Tamandua tetradactyla: one gene and its partner. The protein of the gene in region 2 purifies or fractionates together with the protein of the main gene of each other region. This does not show direct contact. Links are inferred from orthologs where the notes say so. Each region holds a gene or a part of one and is shown on either strand. Other genes may lie near its edges.

Evidence for each region.
Region 1: the proteins of RALBP1 (region 2) and CCDC6 purify together in Homo sapiens (affinity purification with mass spectrometry; 3 studies listed by BioGRID and IntAct, counting the BioPlex papers as one, with this or other methods). This does not show direct contact. The link is inferred for Tamandua tetradactyla from reciprocal best matches to the Homo sapiens genes RALBP1 and CCDC6.

Annotation. Positions count from the first base shown.
Region 1 is NC_135339.1:37,347,059-37,357,095, reverse strand, and holds the start of CCDC6 (coiled-coil domain-containing protein 6), read right to left. Parts: upstream 4,028-10,037; 5' UTR 3,404-4,027; coding exon 3,089-3,403; intron 1-3,088.
Region 2 is NC_135344.1:73,017,594-73,028,065, reverse strand, and holds the start of RALBP1 (ralA-binding protein 1), read right to left. Parts: upstream 4,604-10,472; 5' UTR 4,542-4,603; intron 4,509-4,541; exon of another isoform or gene 4,455-4,508; intron 1-4,454. UniProt on the Homo sapiens protein: Multifunctional protein that functions as a downstream effector of RALA and RALB. As a GTPase-activating protein/GAP can inactivate CDC42 and RAC1 by stimulating their GTPase activity.

The sequences.
Region 1 (10,037 bases), on a different chromosome or scaffold from region 2:
AAAACTACTCTGATATATAAAGGATTCATAAGGGATTCAAAAAAGCGTCTGAGCACTTGGTTTTTGCTTATTTCCCCCATCCCAGGGAAGAAATTATGATCTATAATCTGCAGCCTGGTTCCACTGCCAATTTTTCTGTGAAGTTAGATAGTCACTCAAAACACTGCATTCCATCTCTAAGCCACAAATAAAATGCACTGGACCATTGAAAACATGGAGACAAGGACTCTTAGAGTTGATTCTCCCTGTGGATGAGGTTTCCCTCTATTACAGGAGGTGGGAGAGCACAGACCTATGAAATTAGTTCTTTATTAAATGGGTAGCTTGATCAGAATAAACACTTAGATACCAAAAGCGATAAAAAAGATCACTAGATAAGGGCTTCTATTAGCTCCTTGACTTGGCTAAAGAAAGGAAGGCCTCTCTCTCTTCTTCAGGGTGTGGCTGATTAGTAAAGTCCTTCCTGTACATGATCAGGGCAAAGGAAAGACATCCACAATCACCTCTAGTGTTCGAGAACATGAAACTTAATATCATAATTAGAGGAACTGGGGGCTAAGAGCCAGAAAGGTAAGTAATACGATTATGATACCATCTTCCCTTCAAATTAAGTAACAATGAAAAATCTACCAAGGCCTTCACTTAATTGATTATCTAGGCAATGTGATAAACAGCTTAGGCAGCTACTAGCAAGGGTAATGTTTTTAAGTGAGAGGTGCCAGGGATGCCGCAGATTAACCCTGACATAAACCACCACAATCATGTTCCATGGACTCAAACATTCACAAACCCATTTCATGGAGTCTGCACGTTTCTCCTCCCCAATTACATACCTGATGGTTGAAAACCAATCCCATCACACTCTGGATCCTAAGTCAATCAACAAAATCCTTAAATGCCTGCAGGAACTCTTTTCTCTGCAGCTGTCATACAGCTCCTTAGTAACCAACACCTGCCCAGTACTAGGAGACCCAGCTGAACCACAAGTTTGTCTCCCTGAATATATTAATTAGAGATAAGAAAAGAACTAAGAAGCTTCTAGTAGTGGTACTTGTTAGGCTGTCATCCAAAACATTTTTTTAATGTAAAGCCACAGAATACTTCACAAAGTGTATTAGGTTAAATGTCAACTTTAGCTGAGGTTTAGTGCTAAAAAAATAAATAAATAAAGCCATCACCTTACACACTTCTCAATCCACGTATTCAGAAGGCCTCTGGTCTTTTATACCAGGAGTGAACGTGTTTTGACTGTGCAGAGCCAACATGTTTGTGTACAATTTACAGACCTACTTATAGTATGGTCAAAGTGTCAAACAGATAACCCTTTCATAATCTCTCCATCTCCACCCCCCACCAGCCATTCCTCCATCCCAGACAAACAAAAACAGCCTGAATTGCTGGCTGTAGGCAAGAGGCTAGAGATTCTGTTTCAGGAAAGTTTCACTACTTTTTGGTGGTTCAAATTCTCCAAGAGAGCAACCCTCTCATTTACTCACTCAAACCTTAAATAAACTGGCAACATCAACGTTTCCCTCTTTTCAAGATCCCAGCAGGCTGAGATATTTCTCTCAGTCAAGAAAGCCTACAAAAGAGGCTTGGAGGCTGCCTCTGCAAATTCCTCCCCCTTGCTACCTTAAGGGCCCTTCAGAAACTTAATAGTCTTGATATGGGTGAATGTTGCTCTAATTCCGTTCACCAGGACTGGGTTCGAACATACAAAGTGCCTTTCTACAATCAATTCCTAATTAGGCTGCTGCCAGCAAATTCCGATGGAAAACCTGCTTTCGAAACGAATTAAGAATGCCATCCAATTCCCATGCACAAGCTCATTTTGGGGCAACACACATACTCCTCCACTCAAGACCCTTTCCTGGCACAGGGTCATCCTAAACTTGCCCTATTTCACTTCCAGGCCGTGACCTTTGATCCATACTAAAAGTTCTCCCCTTTCTCATCTGAAGAATCCACCTAATCAGCTATTGTCCAGCAGCTAAGGCAATTTATTCCTTTGATTCCTTGACATTTTCTTCTCTGCTCCTGGATGGGTGGCTGTTTTGATCTGAATAGAGTTGTCTGTATGAGGATTCTGCATGTTAATGATGTGGCAAGCTGGCAGGGATGTTAAGAGCACACAGTGTACTTTTTCCAGTTATGTTTCCCCTCATCACAGCCCACTACAGACAGAACTACAGACCTAACCTTACCCTTCTGGGAAGCCTCCAGGGACCAGGTGAAAACAGATGGCCTGTTCTTCAGTCGAGTACCTGGACTCGGAGGTAATATACCTTTACACACTCCACCACCAAATGAGGAAGCATACGGACAGCTTGCTCAGCAAGACAGTCGCAGCCGCAACCCCTCACTCTGGTTTCGGCCTCAGCTGTCTAGGTCAGTGTTGGATGCTGTACTCTCCCGTATATATATCCCGCCCCGAAAGGAATGGTTTTCCAACAGAGGAGGGTGCACCAGCGCCGGTGCCCGCCTTTCTCTCTCGATCCTGACCAGAGAACTCCACTTCCCGGATTCCCGGTCAATCTCCCGCCCCACCCCACCCCCCACCCCCGGGCGATCCCGCCAGAGCCGTCCAGATACCAGCTGAGTGCCCAGCCCAGCTGCGCACCTCAAACCAGGCCCTTGGAACAGGGCCATGCTTCTTCCCTCTTTCCCAGCCTAGGGTTCCCCTAGATTCCGGACGCACCCCACAGGCAAGCTAAGACTGAAGCAGTCCCACCCCGCCCCCCAGCCACGCCGCCAGCTTGCAGCCCTGCCCCGGAGCGGCCTCCTCCCCAAAGGCGAAAAGAAACCGTCGGGGATTGCCCCAACTGTTTTTCCCCGAACCCCGCGAGGGACCCGGACCACAAGGAAGGGCAGACCCCCATGGCCACCTAAAGGACACATGCCCTCTCCCCCCGCAACAGACACCACCCCCCTCCTCTCCGGGCGCGGGCAGGTCTCAGCGAGGAGTTGTTCGCTGCAGATCCCCAGGAGCCTGGGGAGTGGGGGTTATAGGGTTGCCCGGGTTGGGATGCAGCCGCTCGCGGAGGCGGGCGGAGGTCGGCGCTGCGGCGCGCCCCGGGGGAGCACTCACGATGGTCACGCTGGCTTTGCGCAGGTCTCGGTTCTCCTCCTGCAGCGCCTTGCACTTGAGTTTGTAGGTCTCCAGCTCGATCTTCAGCACCTTGTTCTCTTGCTGCAGCGAGGCCAAGCGGTTGGTGAGCTCCTCCAGGCGGAACGGTGAGATGACAATACCCCCGGACTTCCCACCTCCGCCGCCGCCTCCCCCGCCGCCACCGCCGCCGCCGCCGCCGCCCGAGGTCGACGAGCAAGACGACTGCATGGCGGCCGAGCTGCTGCTGTTGCCCCCCGCCCCGTCCGTGTCGCTTTCGCTGGCGCTGTCCGCCATGGCCGCGGCGGGCTGGGGAAAGGAGGAGGAGGAGGAGCAGGGAGGCGGCGGCGGCGAAGGCTGGGCTGCGAATGAGTGGGCGCCGGGCAAGCACAGGGGAGCGCCGAGCTGAGCGCCTGGCACCAGGGCGCAGACTCGGAGCGGCGACGAGAGAAAGAGAGAGAGCTTCCCGCTGCCAAGGGACCTCCTCTGCCAGAGAACAGAGACCCCGCCCGGGCTCGGGCAGTATTGCACTGGGGCTCGCTCCAGCCCGGCCTGGCGCGCTCGCTAGGCCGCTCTACAAGGCTTGCGGAAAGCTGCGGGAACCCGCCCGCAGTCCCGTCCCGTCTCCTGGCGTCCGCAGGCGAGCTGCTGACGTGGGGGCACTGCGGGTGCGGAAAAGCCAGGCCAGCGTCCGAACCACCAGCTCCAAGTCCGCACGTGGTCTGGGGGAGGGCCTCCGAGACCCCTGACCTAAACCACGGCAGCCCAGCCTCTTCCGGGCTCGCGCCTACTCCGGCGAAAGAGAAACCCAATGCCCAACCAGCCTCGCAGGTGCTGAGGACACGTGGAAAGGTCAGCCTGGCTCCTGCACCCAGCCCCGGTCGTGTCGTGGCCCCATCTTCCGCCGATTTGTGTGTGCGGGTAACTCCCTCTGTCTGTCACACATCAACGCGGCCCTTGCAGTTTTATCTTCCCAGTACTGGCTGAGAAGCTTTGGATGGAGCAAAGAGAACAGAACGTTCCCCTCCAAGGAGCAGAGTAGGGTGAAATAGACACAGGCTAACCTCGTTAAAAAAGAATTTGCCGAAGAGGCACATCGCCCTCTCTATTCCTCCTAATCTCATAAACCTACACAGCGCTCAATTATTTAAGCAAGCTAGAATTATTTTTTTTTCTTTGTGCATCTTGCAAACAGTATCAACACATGTCAACCAAAAGGATTAAGACACTAACAGTTATTTAATTCAAAGTCAGAAAGGGAAGAGAAACACTTCTGGTGTAAATATTGAAACACATGTAAGTGCCAAATTTCCAAAGTAAATGAAAGCATAGCATTCTGCTGTACAAATTTGTGATGGTCAAGTGGAAAGAAAATATGATCATTACCCTTATTTAGAAAACTTTAATAGCTTTTAAAAAAAAACTTTAATTACTTTAATATGGTCTAATACAGGATTCTAGCTTTGAAGCATAAGAAATTCCTAATCAAATTTTATTTCCCCTCCCCCTCCCAAAAACCAGTTGCGGGAAATTGGCCCAGCAGGTGATTTGATTCTAAATACCACACTGTTGGCACAAAAAAAAACAGCTTTCACTTATGTATAAAAATTGGAAAGTGAAACTGGCTGGACTAGTTTTAGTTTCCAAGCTTGGTCAAAGAAAGAACAAACACAGGAAACACAAAAGAGAAAAAATAATACTACCAATAAAACAATTGTTTAAAATGCCTACTGCTTCGCCTGCCACTCCAGAGACCCTGGTTCGATTCCCCAAGCCTGCCCATGCAAAAAAAAAAAAAAAATGCCTACTGCTTTCAGCTTTTTGAAAGGTTTATAAAAATGTTAGGAAGGAAAAGAAATGGCTTTAATGATTTTTATCCCCTACCTTATCGTTGCACCTAAATTTGATGTAATGATTAAACCATTATTCAGTGGCTAATGGAAACTGGTACCTCAGAATAAACTCTAAATTGCAAATGTTCCAAATGACATCATCTTTTACTGAGGTGGCTATTCCTAGCAGACAGCTCAGAAATGCCAACTGCAATTAAATCCCAAATTTCTCCTGTTTTTTAGTTTACTGCTGGAGGACTTCTGAACTTAGACCCTGTTGGTGTGACCAAAATATGGCTGTGTGCTTCAGAAACAAAGCGAATCTAAATAATTCTGTTATAAGTGAACTGGTTTAATTTTCATTGAAACTTACATGTCTTCCTAGCTTTTTCTTTTGGGTAAATGATATAAGCAGCTTGTTAAATTGGAAACGGCTCTAGAAAACTCACTGGCCGTGTGAAATGGAAGAGTAAAGCTAGCAGGGAGCAGCACCGCAGGGGAAAGCTCCGATTAAACAACATTCTTTCCCCTTTATTCAGCACCGTGAAAGAATCTTAAGAGTGGGTCTAGCTTCCATAGTTCACATGTTTCTATTGTTCCCTATCCCATAGTAGCTAAAGCTTCCACTTTTAGAGCTTACAGCAACAGGAACATTCCTTCCCCGCAGAGCAGGGGGCAAATTGGCGCCCTCTCAGCTTTATCACTAACTAACTGCCTCAAAAAGGCAGCTTGACTGCTTCAAGTCAGCAGAGGGGGTGGAGTTTGAAGCGCCTGGCTTTCTTAAAGGGCCCACGTCATGGTAAGCTTAAGAATGCTTTGGTCTTGAATAGGATTTGGAGGAAATCTGCATTTTGACATGGTATGTGTAGGCAGTAATCATGTTTAGAAGACTTTAGGGAGAAAGCCATCTTCTAAGGCTTCCCTGCTGCTACAGATGGGAATAAACCGGAGAATTTCTTTTTCACTGTGGTTTTAATGTTATTGCAAAGCAGAAGTGTGTCTAATTTTCTATTTCTTGTAAAAGTGATTCCCCTTATAAACAGACCATTTATCACAACACTGGCTCAGTAATAGCATTACAATGGAATCACCAGTTACAAAACCAATAATATCATTATAAAACTCCCTTGCAGCTTTCTAGGGGAAATGAATCAGAAGAATAGATGTTAGTGTGTGGTGCCTGGAGGAAGGAGGGGCAAATTTAGATAATCACCTCCATTGAAGAAACAATGAAATTTAGCTTTGTACTAAATCCGAGCTGCAAAAACTAGAAAAACAAAGGAAAACAATACCTTGTAATCTAATTTTAAGGCATAACAGCAAAATATTTATTTGTTTAGTGCCATCTTTGCAGTTGATTCACCCTATAGCCTTGGAACTTTGGTGTTTTTTCCAACAATAAAATTACAATGATTTTCATAGCTATAAATAAATTGCTGTACATATCTACTTACATAAATGTGCAATCTGAGTGATTCTCTTCAAACTCTGAATGGATTGGTGGTTGTCAGAGCCATTGTTAGGGTTTTGAAAAGAATTAAAGGAGCTAAGTGTGAGCTGGTTATCACAAAACTAGTTATCACAGAATTTTGATGGAAAAATAGAAGAATATATCATTGTGGGGTTATCACTTCCTAAAAGATAGCTCATAGTGTTTATTTAAATGCGTGTTTGATTTAGAGGCTGCATCTAGTACCTAGACCTAATACAGGGTTTCTCCACCTCCATACTACTGACACTTGGGGTCAGATCATTCTTTGTTGCGGGAGCCGTGCTGGGCATCCTAGGATGTTTAGCAGCTTCCCTAGGCTCTCTACACATTAGATGTCAGTAACGTGCCGCCAATCATGACAACCAAAAATGTCTCCAGACATTGCCAAATATGCCCCTGGTTGAGAATCACATGTCTAGTAGGGCAATTACTTTTGAAGGGCAAAAGCAGGTCCGCTTTAGAGTGGCTTTTCTGGCAACACATTGATTACATACCACAGAGTCATCAAGAGAGTGTCTCTCTCATTTCGTCTCCTTGGTGACAACTAGCCAGAAGATCCTGGACCCAAACAACCATATCCACACCTCTGACAATTACTGTCTTCAGCCACCCCTATTTCTTTAACTTGTTTTTTCCATATTTTACATCCATTAATGCCAAACTAACTTTGCTCACCAGCATCTCCCCCGGCAAGAGATCATGACTTCAAGATCAATTATATAGCTTAACACCTCTGTTGTTCTCCTGTTTTCTATCACTCATTATTGGTTCACAGAAATCCAAACTATTTCTACAAACCACAGTCATCACCTAAGGTAAGTCAGGTGAGAATCAAATAAGAATTTCAGCAAAAAAAATAACCATATGAGTAACTGGAGATTTGGCAGCCTACAAAAACTAAAATATCCCAACACAGAACATCTAGAAATAGTGACCAGGAAACACTTTCTAAATCCTATTAAATGTACAGCAGAGGGCAAAATAAAATAGAAGGAAATCCCAGGGTCCAAAAGCAAAGAGGAAAACTGGAAACAACCTAAATATCAACCTATAGTGGGCTAGATCATAAATTCTGTTATATTCACGTAATGAAGTATTATGAGTCAATGGGAATGAATGAATTAGAATTGCATGAAGCAACATGAATGACCCTTACAAACACAATGATGAGTGAAAAAAAGCCAGACACAAAAAAGTATATACTGAATGATTTCATTTATATAAAATTTGAAACTAGGCTAAATTAATAGAAGTCAGGATAAAGATTCTCTTTGGAAGTGGTAGTAACTGGAAAGTGTGCTAGATTTCTAGTAATGTTCTCTTTTTTTTTGAGCTTTGTGCTTGTTACACAGGTGTGTTCACTTGTGAAAAGGTATTGCACTATTTATTTATGATTTGTGTACGTTTCTGTATGTAAATTATACTTCATTAAAATTTGTGTGTCAGAAAAGGAGGAAGAGGGAGGACTAAAAAACCAAAGTACTAAACCTGGCAGCTGAGACTAGGCACAGCAGCTTGTTAACCATGGAATTTATCCAGCAGGTACAGGACTTGTCTTAGGGCCATACAAAGCAAGAAGTTGTTACTAAGACACCCATGAAATGCCAGAGCCTTCAAAGAACTACACCAGCAAAGAAAGACTGGAGGGAGTGGGGAAGAAGAGGGATCTTCCTACCAGCAAACAGGAAGGTTGCCTTTGCCTGGATTCAGATTTAGAAAAAATAATCTCTTTGGAAAAATTGTAATTTAGATCTAAGCCACATGCAGTTAGGGGGTTCACACATTTCTACTTTATCCTACCTACGTGGTCCAGAAATCCCCAGATAAGATATTATCCTAAAAGTTGGGCTAACATGGGAACTGTTTGGGTGATGGAAATGTTCATATCTTAACTGTGGTGGTAGTTGCATAAATGTGTACATTTATCAAATCTCATCAAACTGATAGTTAAAAGATGTGAATGGTACTGTATGTAAAATACATCATTAAAAAAAAACTGATAAAAAAGAAATAGTTGGAGCTGGGATGGTGATATTCCTGTTGTACCTGGCCTACATAAACACAATTCAGCCTAAAGGTACAATCTCAAATTGAAGATGGGATTACAGTTGAAAATTATAAGATGCAGAGAGAAACAGTACGTTTTGAACAAAAATCAGCAATGGACCACAATAGTTTTTCCTAGAACTTCAGTTGACAAATATTGGATAAAGTTGGATTGGATAAAATGAAGTATGTTGAAAATAATTTAAGCCATAAAAAAGGAATAGGAAGCACAAGAGAGAAAGGTAGAGTCAGAGTTGAAAACAGAACATTCAGCTTTATAAGAGAACCAAAAAGAATATTTAAAACTGCAAAATACATTTCCTCATTTTGTCTAATTTCAAGACTACAGTGGTCAAAACAGTGTCATACTGGCACAAGGACAGACACATAGACCAAAGGAATTCAATTGAGAGTTCAGAAAAAAATCCTCACATTTATTGCTTTTTGAGAAGGATGCCAACTCCATTCAATTGGGAAAGAATAGTTTCTTTAACAAATGGTGCTGGGAAAACTAAATATCCATATGCAAAAGAATGAAGGGGTCACCAACCTCACACCATACACAAAAATTAACTCAAAATGGATCAAAGATCTAAATATAAGAATCAGGACTATAAAACTCCTAGAAGAAAATGTAGGGAAGCATCGTTAGGACTTTGTGTTAGGCAATAGCCCCTTAGAATTTACCTCAAAAGCACAAGTAATCAAAGAAAAAACAGATAAATTGGGCTTCATCAAAATTAAAAATCTTTCATGCATCAAAGGACTTCATCATGAAAGTAAAAAAAAAAAAACAAAAAAACTACAAAATGGGAGAAAATATTAAGAAACTACATATCCGATAAGGATTTAATATCCAGGATATACAAGAAATCCTACAAATGAACAACAAAAAAGATTAAAAAAAAAAAAACCACAATTTTAAAAATGGGCAAAAGACTTGAATAGACATTTCCCCAAAGAAGATATAAAAATGACCCAAAAAAGCATATGAAAAGAGGTTCAACATCATTAGCTATTAGGGAAATGCCAATCAAAACCACAATGAGATATCATTTAGAATGGCTACTATTACGAAAGAAAGAAAAAAAAACAGAAAATAACAAGTGTTCAAGAGGATGTTGAGAAATAGGTACATTTATTCATTGTCGGTGGGAATGTAAAATGGTGCAGCTGATATGGAAGACAGTTTGACAGTTATCAGAGAGTTATGTATAGAATTACCTGTGACCTGACAATCCCCCTTCTAGGTATATACCCTAAAGAATTGAAGGCAGGGACTTGAACAGGTATCTGCACACCAATGTTCATGACATTGTTCACAATTGCCAAAAGATGGAAGCAACCCAAGTGTCCATCAGCTGATGAGTAGATAAACCAAATGTGGTATAGCATACAAAGGAATATTATTCAGCTGTGAAAAGGACAACATAAATGACCCCTGAAGACACCATGGTGAATAAATTAAGCCAAACACAAAAGGACAAGCATTGTATAATCTTACTGATATAAAATGATTAGAATAAACAAATTCATAGAGTCAGAAACTAGAATACAGTTT
Region 2 (10,472 bases):
AAATCAATCAACTTAAATATAAATGCTAAAATCATAAAACTCTTAGAAGAAAGGATTAAGAATATAGTTTACCATTCATGAGCTTGCATTTGCATTACATCAAAAGCTGAGGCAACAAAAGAAAAAACAGATAAACTGGACTTTACCAAAATTAAAAACTCTTCTGTTTCCAAAGACACTATCAAGAAAGTGAAAAAGACAACGTAAAAAATGGGAGAAAATATTTGTTAAGGGGTTAGTATCAAGAATATATAAAGAGCAATTACAACTCATCAACAAAAAGACAACCCAAATAAAAATGAACAAAAGACCTGAATAGACACTTCTCTAAGGAAGATATACAAATGACCCACAAGTTCATGAAAAAAAATGTTCACTATCTTTAGTCATTAGGGATCTGCAACTTAAAACCAGGAGATACCATTTCACACCGACTAGGTGGATATTATTCAAAAAAATAGAGAGAGAGAGAGAATATAACAAGTATAGGTGGGGTTGGGGAGTACACATCACTGCTGGTGGGAATGTAAAATGGTTCACAGCCTCTGTGGAAATGTTTGGCAGTTCCTCAAAATGCTAAACATAGTTACTGTATGACCCAGCAATTCTACTCTAACCATATGATCCAAAATAAATGAAAATATATGTCCACACAATAATTGTACATGAATATTCATACCAGCATTTTAGTCATACCAGCCAAAAAATAGAAACAATTTAAGTATTCAGCATCTAATGAATGGATAAAAAATGTGGTATATTCAGACAATGGAGTATACTGGACAATTTAAAGGAATGAAGTACTGATAAATGCTACAATATGGATGAACCTTGAAAACATTATGCTAAGTGAAAGAAGCCGTCACAAAAGACCACATACATGATTCCACATATGAAACACACAGAAAAGGCATATGCAGAGCCAGAAAGTAGATTAGCGGTTGCCAGGCAATGGGTAAGACAAAAGTGGTGAGTGACTGCTAACAGCTAAGGGGTTTCTTTTTGGGGTGATGAAAATGTTCTAAAATTGCTTGTGAGGATGGCTGCACAAGTGTACAAATCAAAAACCACTAAAATGTACCTTTAAAAGGGTAAATTTTATGGTACACGGATATCTCCAATCTGATACAACAAAACAAGTAGGCTCAAATCTTTGCCATGTTAAAATTCCCTCCCTCAGACATTCATCACCTTCTGCTATCACCTCCTTTCTACTTTTCACTTCACAGGTGAGCTTCCAGAAACAATCCACATTTGTTGTCTCCACTCTCTGACCTCCCATTAACTCAAGTCAATAAAATCTAGCTCCTGATACAGTCTACCAAAACTACTCTCACTCATTTATCAAATCCAACAGCCTTCTTGTTATCAACTTCAAAAGACTCTTAAAAATCCTTACTTAAATTAACTTCTTTAAGCATCTGAAGTATAGCTTCCTTTTGAAATGACCCCACTTTGGCTATTATGATATTTCCTTATGATTTCTCCGTATCTCTAAACACTTAAGAATTTCCTTTTCCATTTTTCCCTCTATCTGGCTTCAAATGTTGTTCTTCGGGGTCTACTTCTAGTACTTCTCTCAGTCGGTACACAGTATTACCTAATTCAAAGACTTCATCTAACAGCATATTTAAGCTGATGACCCTCATAGCCAGAACGTTCTCTCCCACTTTAAATTCATACTCAGCAGATGTTTACACATGGATGCTTCACTCAATATATACAAAAGCTAAAATATTGCTTCTCCTCAAATTTGCCCCTTTTCCTAAATTCCCTTACTCACTAGATTGCATCACTGTCTAATCAATCACCAAAATTAAAATCCAAGTCATCTTATCTTACTATTTCTCCTTCACTCCCCAAATCTAATTGCCACCAAGTCCTATGGATTCTACCTACTGAATATTTCTATTAACCTAATCCTCTGTAATCCTACTGACACTGCCTTAGTTTAGATCCTTCTATCACCTCATTCACTGCAGAAACCTCCTAAGCAGTTTTTCTGCATCCAACCTCACTTTCCCTCCATTCTTTCTGAAAAGTATACTCCTTAATACCAGTATGATCACTCTCAAATGAAAACCTTACAATGTTTCTTTACTGATTAAAATTCCTATACTCTATCATTACCTACAGGAAAAAAAATGTCTAAAATTCTTAAATGGCATGTGGTGCTTTTGAGGATCTATCTGTATAGCCTCATCTTCTGCTACTCAACACCACAAATCCAATTCTACTACAGAAAACAACTTTTCATTCTCATAAATGTGTTATGTTCTCTCTCTCCCTCTTGTCTTTGTTCAACTTTCTCTTTGCCTGAAGTCCCTTTCCCTCCCTTTTCTGCCTTAGTCATGTCTAAATTTTCTTTAACTTTAATGGCATAAACTGTAAAGCATCTAATTTTTAACACATAGGAGGGGGTTAAAAATAGGTTCAACTGGCTTAGGTCTCGCTTCTTTGTCGTGTCTCAATGGCTCCCATTTGCCTACAAAATAAAGTTGAAATTACTTTGATGACATATGAGACATAAATCCATAATTTGGTCTCTGCCTACCCCACCCCCAATTTCATGTCTAGGTTGCCATACTTTTGGTCACACTATTCCTTTTAAATGCCCATCCTTTCTATATCTGTATATATATTTTTACTTACCACCCCCCTCTTCTTCAATTCCTCCTTCACTTCCCTTGAGAAACTGATAGCTATCTCCTTTGTACACACATCATACCCACAAACTTTTTTTTCTAATCAAAGTATTCATAAAAATGTATTGTACTGAAACAAAAAAATAAAAGTAACAACAACGACAAAAAACGAAAACAAAAAGATAAAACAAAAAAAGTATTGTGCTTGTTGACAGTTCAAGTAAGGGATACAGTCTCACCATCCTGAAGGCAGGGATACTGCCTTATTCATCTTTAAGTCTTCTTTACCTGGCATGGCACCTGCTGCACGATAATTCCTCTACCCTAAATAATCTGCATTTTTCCTTGTCCTCTCTTACATAATCTAATGGAAGCTTCTATTAGAGATTTTCTTTCAAAATAGAAGATACTTTCAGGTTACATTCTGGGCCTAAATCTCACCTTGAGATAAAGGGTACAAATTAAAGTTAATATGCATTTTCTAATAATATTTTTAATCTTTCTACATTAAGGGAGAAAAGGTCCCTGTAAGATCAATAATGAAAAATAATATTTTGAAGAGCTAGCAAGTTAGGTATAATGTAGTTTTGTTTTTAAGATACTTTGTTTAAAGAATTGCTTGTCAATAGTTACTCAAATTAGTCTGCCAGACTTGGCAGCTATGGGTCAGACAGAAAAGCAGGAACCACTCTCCCGACTTCTTTCCTACCCCATCTACTGCTGACACAGCTTACATTAATTACTCATTTTGAGGAAGATACTCAGAAAACATCAATGCACTAAGATAATTCTAAACGTAGATGTGATCTTACCTTTCTCATTACAGTCCCATTTATTCATTTAGAAATGCTGCCTCCATGGGCTCCAAACCAAAAGTGGCCCTATTCCTTGGCACCACTTAATTTGTGAATATCTGCCCCACTATATTGGAGTGCAGCCCAACGTACTGCAACATTAGAATACGTCCACTCCACCAACCAAAAGTGTCAGTGAAAGTGTTTCTAATCCTGCCGGAAGGTGTAACTCATTGTTCAAACGAGTGTACTTTTCTTACATGCACGTTCAAAACACTTCGAATTAAAAATTTAATCACATTCAAGAACTCGAGTAGGCCGTAGAGGAAACACGCTGCTTGCTCAAGAGGGCGACTCTGTAGTAAGGAATCCCAAAACTTGAAACAGCACACTTACTTCAGGTAAAGCTGAGGCTGGAATAGTTTGTAAAGCCTGGTTCATTCTCAAGGCCACGATAAACTTAAAAAAATTTTAAATTAATAATTTTTAAAAAGCTGACCTCATTGCAGAGCATTTGGGCACATGCACACTTGAGAACGGGTCGTGAGAAGCATTCTCAACTCCAAATCTGTCGGTCCGTTCCCACTGAAACCTGAACTAAGGGCTGTCGTGCCCGAAGGAGCCCGGGGCTCCACCACCCGCCGGGGCACAAATCAAGCGCCTATCTCCAGTCCCCTGAGCAAGCGCTGGACGAGGGTCAACATTCCGGGTAAGAACTAGGAGATAATAACAATGATGAAAAGGGTCCGAGTCCCCTCTCCTCCGCTCAGCGTGCTCCCGAAGGGCTCTCCTACCGCGCGGGAAAGCAAGGCGGAGGCCCCCCACACCCAGAGAGCACCCCACCGCACGTGCGGATGCCACCAGGGGAGGCCTGCCGGCCAGTGGACGGGACAGACAGCAAGGGGGGACAGCACCCCGGCCCGGGAGGAACCCTCACGGGGCAGCCACGCCCCCCAGCCCCCAACTCCAACCCCGACAAGCGGTCAGCACCAGCCCCGCCCGCCGCCTGACAGACCCCGGGGCGAGGCCGGGGCCGCAGGATCCCTGGGTACGCGAGGGGCTCTGCGGCGACCACGGCACGCCACCACTCCACACGACTGACCTGTGCGCGCCGCCGCGCGACCGCCGCCCCAGCCGCCGTCGCCACCTCGCGCTCACGCTGCCGTCGCCGCCGCCGTCACCGCCCCCCGCGCCGCGCCCCTGGCCGGCCTCAGGAACCCCATCCCCACCCCGCCCAGCCGCCGCCTGTTTACAATGACTGGGATGGAACGGGACGAGCCGGCCCCGCACGCAGGCGCACTCCCTCCCCGCGCCGCTTCCGGGTGTCCTGCTGCTGCAGGCTGACGGCTAAGGCCGTCGAGGGCCCCTCGCGCGGGGCACGCTGGGAGGCGCAGTCCGCGGAAACCCGACGTTCGGGCCGCGGGAGGACGCCGTGCGGAGGGTGTGCACTACGATACCCAGGAAGCATCGCGCGCCCTGCGGCCCCGGGCGCGCTGTGGTCACCGAGAGCGCGAGTGTGCGCGACGCGCTGGTCCTGCGCCGGCGCCTGCGCAGTGCGCGGCCTTGGGAACTGGGTGGGCTGCCTGCCCGGAAAAGGAGTGAACGGCGGTGGTTTGGGGGCTGTTCCCGTGGTGGTCCCTCCGCGTCCTGAGCCGCCTGTCCTCGGCTTTCGAAGTCCAGCCCTTGCTTATTGCCAGCGGGCTTCAGTGGTGCTAACCGGTTAAACCAGCCTCGGAGGCCGGCCCAGCCTGCCGCAGGGTGGGGCGAAATCCTGGCCTTCAGCTGGGCGGGGGACCGTTCATTTCGGTGGGAACTCTTTTGCTTGGGGGTTTTGGGAAGAGGAAGCGACGTGGACTTGTGGGGGGAGACTTGTAAAAACTGTCGGGATCGTCTGCAAAATTCCTTGGTCCCTGTGGGGCAGCGGACAGCTGCCTGCCCGCCACCCATCCCTTTGGCGCCACGTTTACGAAACACCTGGATAAGAACTGCCCAGCTGCATATTTAAGGCACCGGTAGAACTGGAAATAGTTGGGTTTCCTCCAGAACCGAGGGCGTAGAAAAGTCCTTTGTAAAGGACTTGAAGAATTGTTCTAATGTACATTGAGGGCTGGAAAGCAGGGTCTTATCACTTGTTCTTGCTTTATGAAAGTAGGCAGTTTTTTAGGGAAGAAGTGGGGTTTGGGACAGATAGATGGTCGTACCCAGTCGCTTCCTTTACTACCTGCATTGCTCTCTTTAAAACTTCATTATATATTTGGATTGGCAGGCCACAATCAGCCGACACTATCCCTCCCAGATCAGTTTTTCTCAAATCTAAGTACAGATTTATCTTCTGTACTCTGCATGTCCTACCCAGTAAAGTTCAGCGCCCCCCTCAGTCTTACACGCAAGAGCTTCCCACAATTGGATGCTGAGGTGGTCTGTGGTAGCCACTGTTTTTTCAGACTGCCCCAAAAAAGTTCTCATCACTGCTTCTGGAAACAACAGTTTCCTCTGACCACTGGGGTAGGGATGTAATCATTCATATCACTAGACCCTGTGCTCTGGCAACGCTGATTGGGCCAAGGAACAGGCACTGACCCAAGCTAGGTCCATGCCAGAAGTTGCTGAAAGGACGCAAAGAAGGGAGAAAAAAGGTTTCTGCTGAGGTCACTGCTGATGATTATATTCCATGCAATATCTGTTTGCAGTAAGAATGAACGTGGCCAATTGAGATTGCAAAGAACAAAGAAAGGAGAAATGGAGGAGAGAAAGCAATTCGTAGCATGTATGCAGTTGGTTGGGGCTCAGAGCCGGTATTTCCTGCAACTCGTCTCTATGTGCTATGAGTCTATGAGTCTAATGACTCAATATATTCATTCATGTACTCATTATTATTAAGGGCTAATGTGTGTGATTATAGAAGATATTTGTTAGTTTCCTCCCAAATATTTGTTCCTCCCATTTAAGCCATGCAGCATATCCATTCTCTGTGACAATTATGATAGTTTCAGAGAGATATGTATAGCCCAGTCAGAGTCAATGAATCCCACAGAAACTTGTGTTGGGGCCTCTAGGAAAGTGCAGCTTTCTTATGTTCTGATGTTGTTAGTTTGCAAGTTGCCGGAATACAACATGCCTGAAATGGAATGGCTTTTTAGAGGGGGAATTTAATAAATTACAAGTTTACAGTTCTGAGGCCATGAAAATGTCCAAATTTAGGTGCCTACAAGAGGTTACCTTCACTCAAGAAAGGCTGATGAAGTTTGGGGGTTCTCTGTCAGCTGGAAGGGCACATAACGATGTCTATCTTTCTCTCCCGGCTTCTGGCTTCGTGGAGTTCCCCAGGGGCTTTTTCCTTCCTTATCTCCAAAGGTTTCTGGCTGCGTGGACTCTTTTGGTTCTGGTTGCTCCAAAGTTTTTTCCAAAATGATTCCGTCTTAAAGGGCTCCAGTAAGCAACCCCACCTTGAATGGATGGAGACACATCTCCATGGAAACCATCTAATTAAAAGTTACTACCCACAATGGGATGGGTCATGTCTTCATGGAAAAAGTCAAAAAGGTCCCACCCAGCAATATTGAATGAGAATTAAAGTACATCGCTTTTCTGGGGTACACAACCGATTCAAATCAGCACAGGTATGGTCTACGAATATGAGAACTGAAAAATGTGGTAACATTTTGCACCTGTAAAGAGAGAGCCTGGAGGCATGGGGTTTAAAAGGGAAGGTGTTGGTTGAGCTTGAGGATGACACGAATACTGTCAAATAAGTACCAGAAAGATGGAACAGAACCTTGCTCTTGGTGACACCATTAGAGCTACACAATCAAACCTCACCTGAAGCAAGACTTGTGCCTATAGACTGTTCAGTATTGTGAGCCATACAATTCCCATATTGGTTAAGCCAGTTTGTGTTGGGTTTTCTGTGACTCAAAGTTCTGAAAGTCTTACCTCATTCAAATTAGATTTCTTTTACATGAAACTGAAAGGCCCCTTAAGAATAAATTATAAAAGGGATTTTGTCTATGACTGTGTGACATGACTGGCAATTCCTTTGAACCTAAAACGAGTATGAAACTAGACAAAATTGTCCAAAACAGCAATTTCAGGGCACCAGAAATCAACCGAACAAATTGAAGTATCTTTTCTTGGAAACCTGCTAGAACTTCCAAAAAAAACAGGAAATCTGCGACCTTCTTGCTTGAGGCTATTCTAATCCAGTCCTATTGCCCCCGTTCCATTGAACCAGAATTCTAGTTTTACCATGGTGGACCAGGCTAGCAAAAAGATTAGCAGCTTTGCTGCAAGAGGGGATGGACTACATTTGTTGTGGGAAGTCAAAATTCACAGTATTACAGTAAAATTTGCATGCTCGGGTGAAAATAAACGTGGAAAACCCACAATTTTGCTAACTACAAGTGGGGCAAATGACAAAGCAACCAGAAACATCTTCCAACAGGAAGATATCGGTAATAGACTCATCTGAGGGCTAAAATAAGTTCTTTAAATGCCCCTGGCTGGCTGGGAAACTATTCACATGCATGGAGGTGAGTGAAGGGACCCATTGAAAGCTGAAAGCCAAGGGAAACTTGAGAACTGGTGGCAACTTTGATTGCATCTCTTAATCCACCCAAAGATCTACTGGCAGAGGGAGGAAGATTTACAAACCCACGATGTTTGAGTAAAACTTTTGCCCAAATCATTATCTGACCACTCAGCTATGCAGATGCAGAATTAAATCAGAATTAAAAAACAGCAGACACATCAGAAACAGGACAAGGATGCCCACTGTCACCACTGCTATTCAGTGTGGTACTAGAAGTTCTAGCCAGAGCAATTAGAAATAATAAAAGGCACCCAAATTGGAAAGGAAGAAGTAAAACTTTCCCTATTTGCAGATGATATGATCCTCTATATAGAAAATCCTGAAGAATCCACACAAAGCTACTAGAGCTAATAAGCAAATTCAGCGAAGTGGCAGGGCACAAGATCAACATGCAAAAATCAGTAGTGTTTCAAAACACTAGGTAATGAACAATTTGAAGAGGAAATTGAGAAAAATTTTCCATTTACAATAGCAACTGAAAAAACTAGTATCTGGGAATAAATTTAACTAAAGACTTGTATGTGGGAAGATACAAAATACTGCTGAAAGAAATTAAAGAAGACCCAAATGAATGGAGGGGCATTCTGAGTTCAGGATCAGAAGACTAAATATTAAGATGGCAATTCTTCCCAAAGCAATCGACAGATTAAATGCAATACCAATCATAAATTCCGACAATCTTGGAATGAGACACTTCAGATGTCTGTCTCTTCACAGAAGCTTTGCACAACGAGCAAGAACTGGCAGAAACATCTTCTCAAAGTTTCAGAAAACAGTTAAAAGAATGCAATTACAGGGCAGGCACCAGATCAAGAAAAGGCTACTTAAAAGCAAGATTTCTGGCACCCTAGCTGGCCCTTCCCTCATCCCTTATCAGCTTGGCACAGAGTCATCCTGTGTTCTCAGGCTTGGGTCCTGGTTCCAGAGGGAGCAGAGTGGCCCACACACACACACATGCTGGGAATGCATGTATCTGACCCAGTCTATCTGGTGGTGGCTTGAGGGACTCCTCATCCCAGAACTTGGCTTGCATGTAGGAGACAGCTCATGGAGTTCTGTCTGTGAGAGAGCGGTCAAGTCATGCTCCTGCAGCAAGGCATGGCTGGCTGTAGGATACACAGCAGGCTGCCTAGGACCATAAAGAAACTTTCCTAGAAAGGAGGGAATCTTTGTAAATAGGGGAATTCCTAAGGCCACAGAGAAAATGCATGCACAGAAAGGATTAGGAAGGTCCCTTCACTTTGGCCTAGAACTATTCTCAACACATGGGTGGATAAATCCAGAAGGAGAGCACTTGCACAGGTCCATCTACAAAGACCTGGCATTCAAGGAAAACTTAGTATTACTATTAGCTGGATGCAAGCCTAAGGAACAGATGCCATAGAGTTTAAATCACAGCAATAACACGGTAAGATAGAGAAATGAACTTCTGGGAAGATGGCAGATTAGGATAGGCAGAACTCACTCTTCCACTATAAAACAACTAGAAAGCAGGCAGAAAATGACCAAAGCAGCAGTTCCAGAGCCCAGTGGCCAGAGACAAACTTCTGCATTGTATAAAGAAAACAATGCAGAACGGATGGAAAAGCAGAGAAACTACGACTGAGAAATTGGGGTGAGTGTATTCAATCGCAACCACCTCCAAGGTCTAACAGCCAGATCAGCCAACCGAAGAGTGACACGCCCCAGTTCAGAGAGGTGGGGGAGGCAATCCTTACAGTCCCACAGACTAGCATTCCCATGTGGGACCCCTGGAGCCAGTAGACTCATTTTATCCACACACAGAGACCCTGCTATGATGCCCAGTGCCTATCCCCCATCCCTGAGGCAGGCTGCTGCAGGTGCCTGGACTTAAGGGAGTCTGGGAAGCCCTCCTCTCAGGAGGAGAGGGGGATGCAGAGCAGAGCCGATCTGAAAATTGGCTGGCAAGAGAGACAGACGCTCTGGGTCCCATTGCCTCAATCCTTTAGGCACAGGGGCTCAGGGCACTCACTGCGAACAGAAGCAGAGAGGCAGAGGCCAGGCAGCTACATTGCAAAACTAGGTGCCCTTCCCACACCCCCGAGGCAGTCTTGCTGGCTAGCAAAAAGCAAAGCACTCCTGGGCCAACTGCAAGCTGGTAAAGTCAAACCTCCCTATCCTGCAGGAGTATGGAAGTATGGAACCACCAGACCCAATATAAGCCAGAGTCTTTGCCATTGCACACAGTGCCCACCCCCATCCCTGGAGCCAGCAGCTTCACATGGGGGCCTGGCCTTCACTGGATTTTAACCTGGGCTGGACCCTGCCCAGTGAAATGCCACAGTCAGGGAGAGGCGAGGTTTTGGGGAAGAGGTGGTTGAAGGGTGCCATCTGCTGGGAAGATGGGGGGAAGTGCAGATTGGCGAGCTGCTTCTCTGCCAGCCTCCAACAGCCTTCTGAAAAGTGCTGCTTCCCCTGAGACAG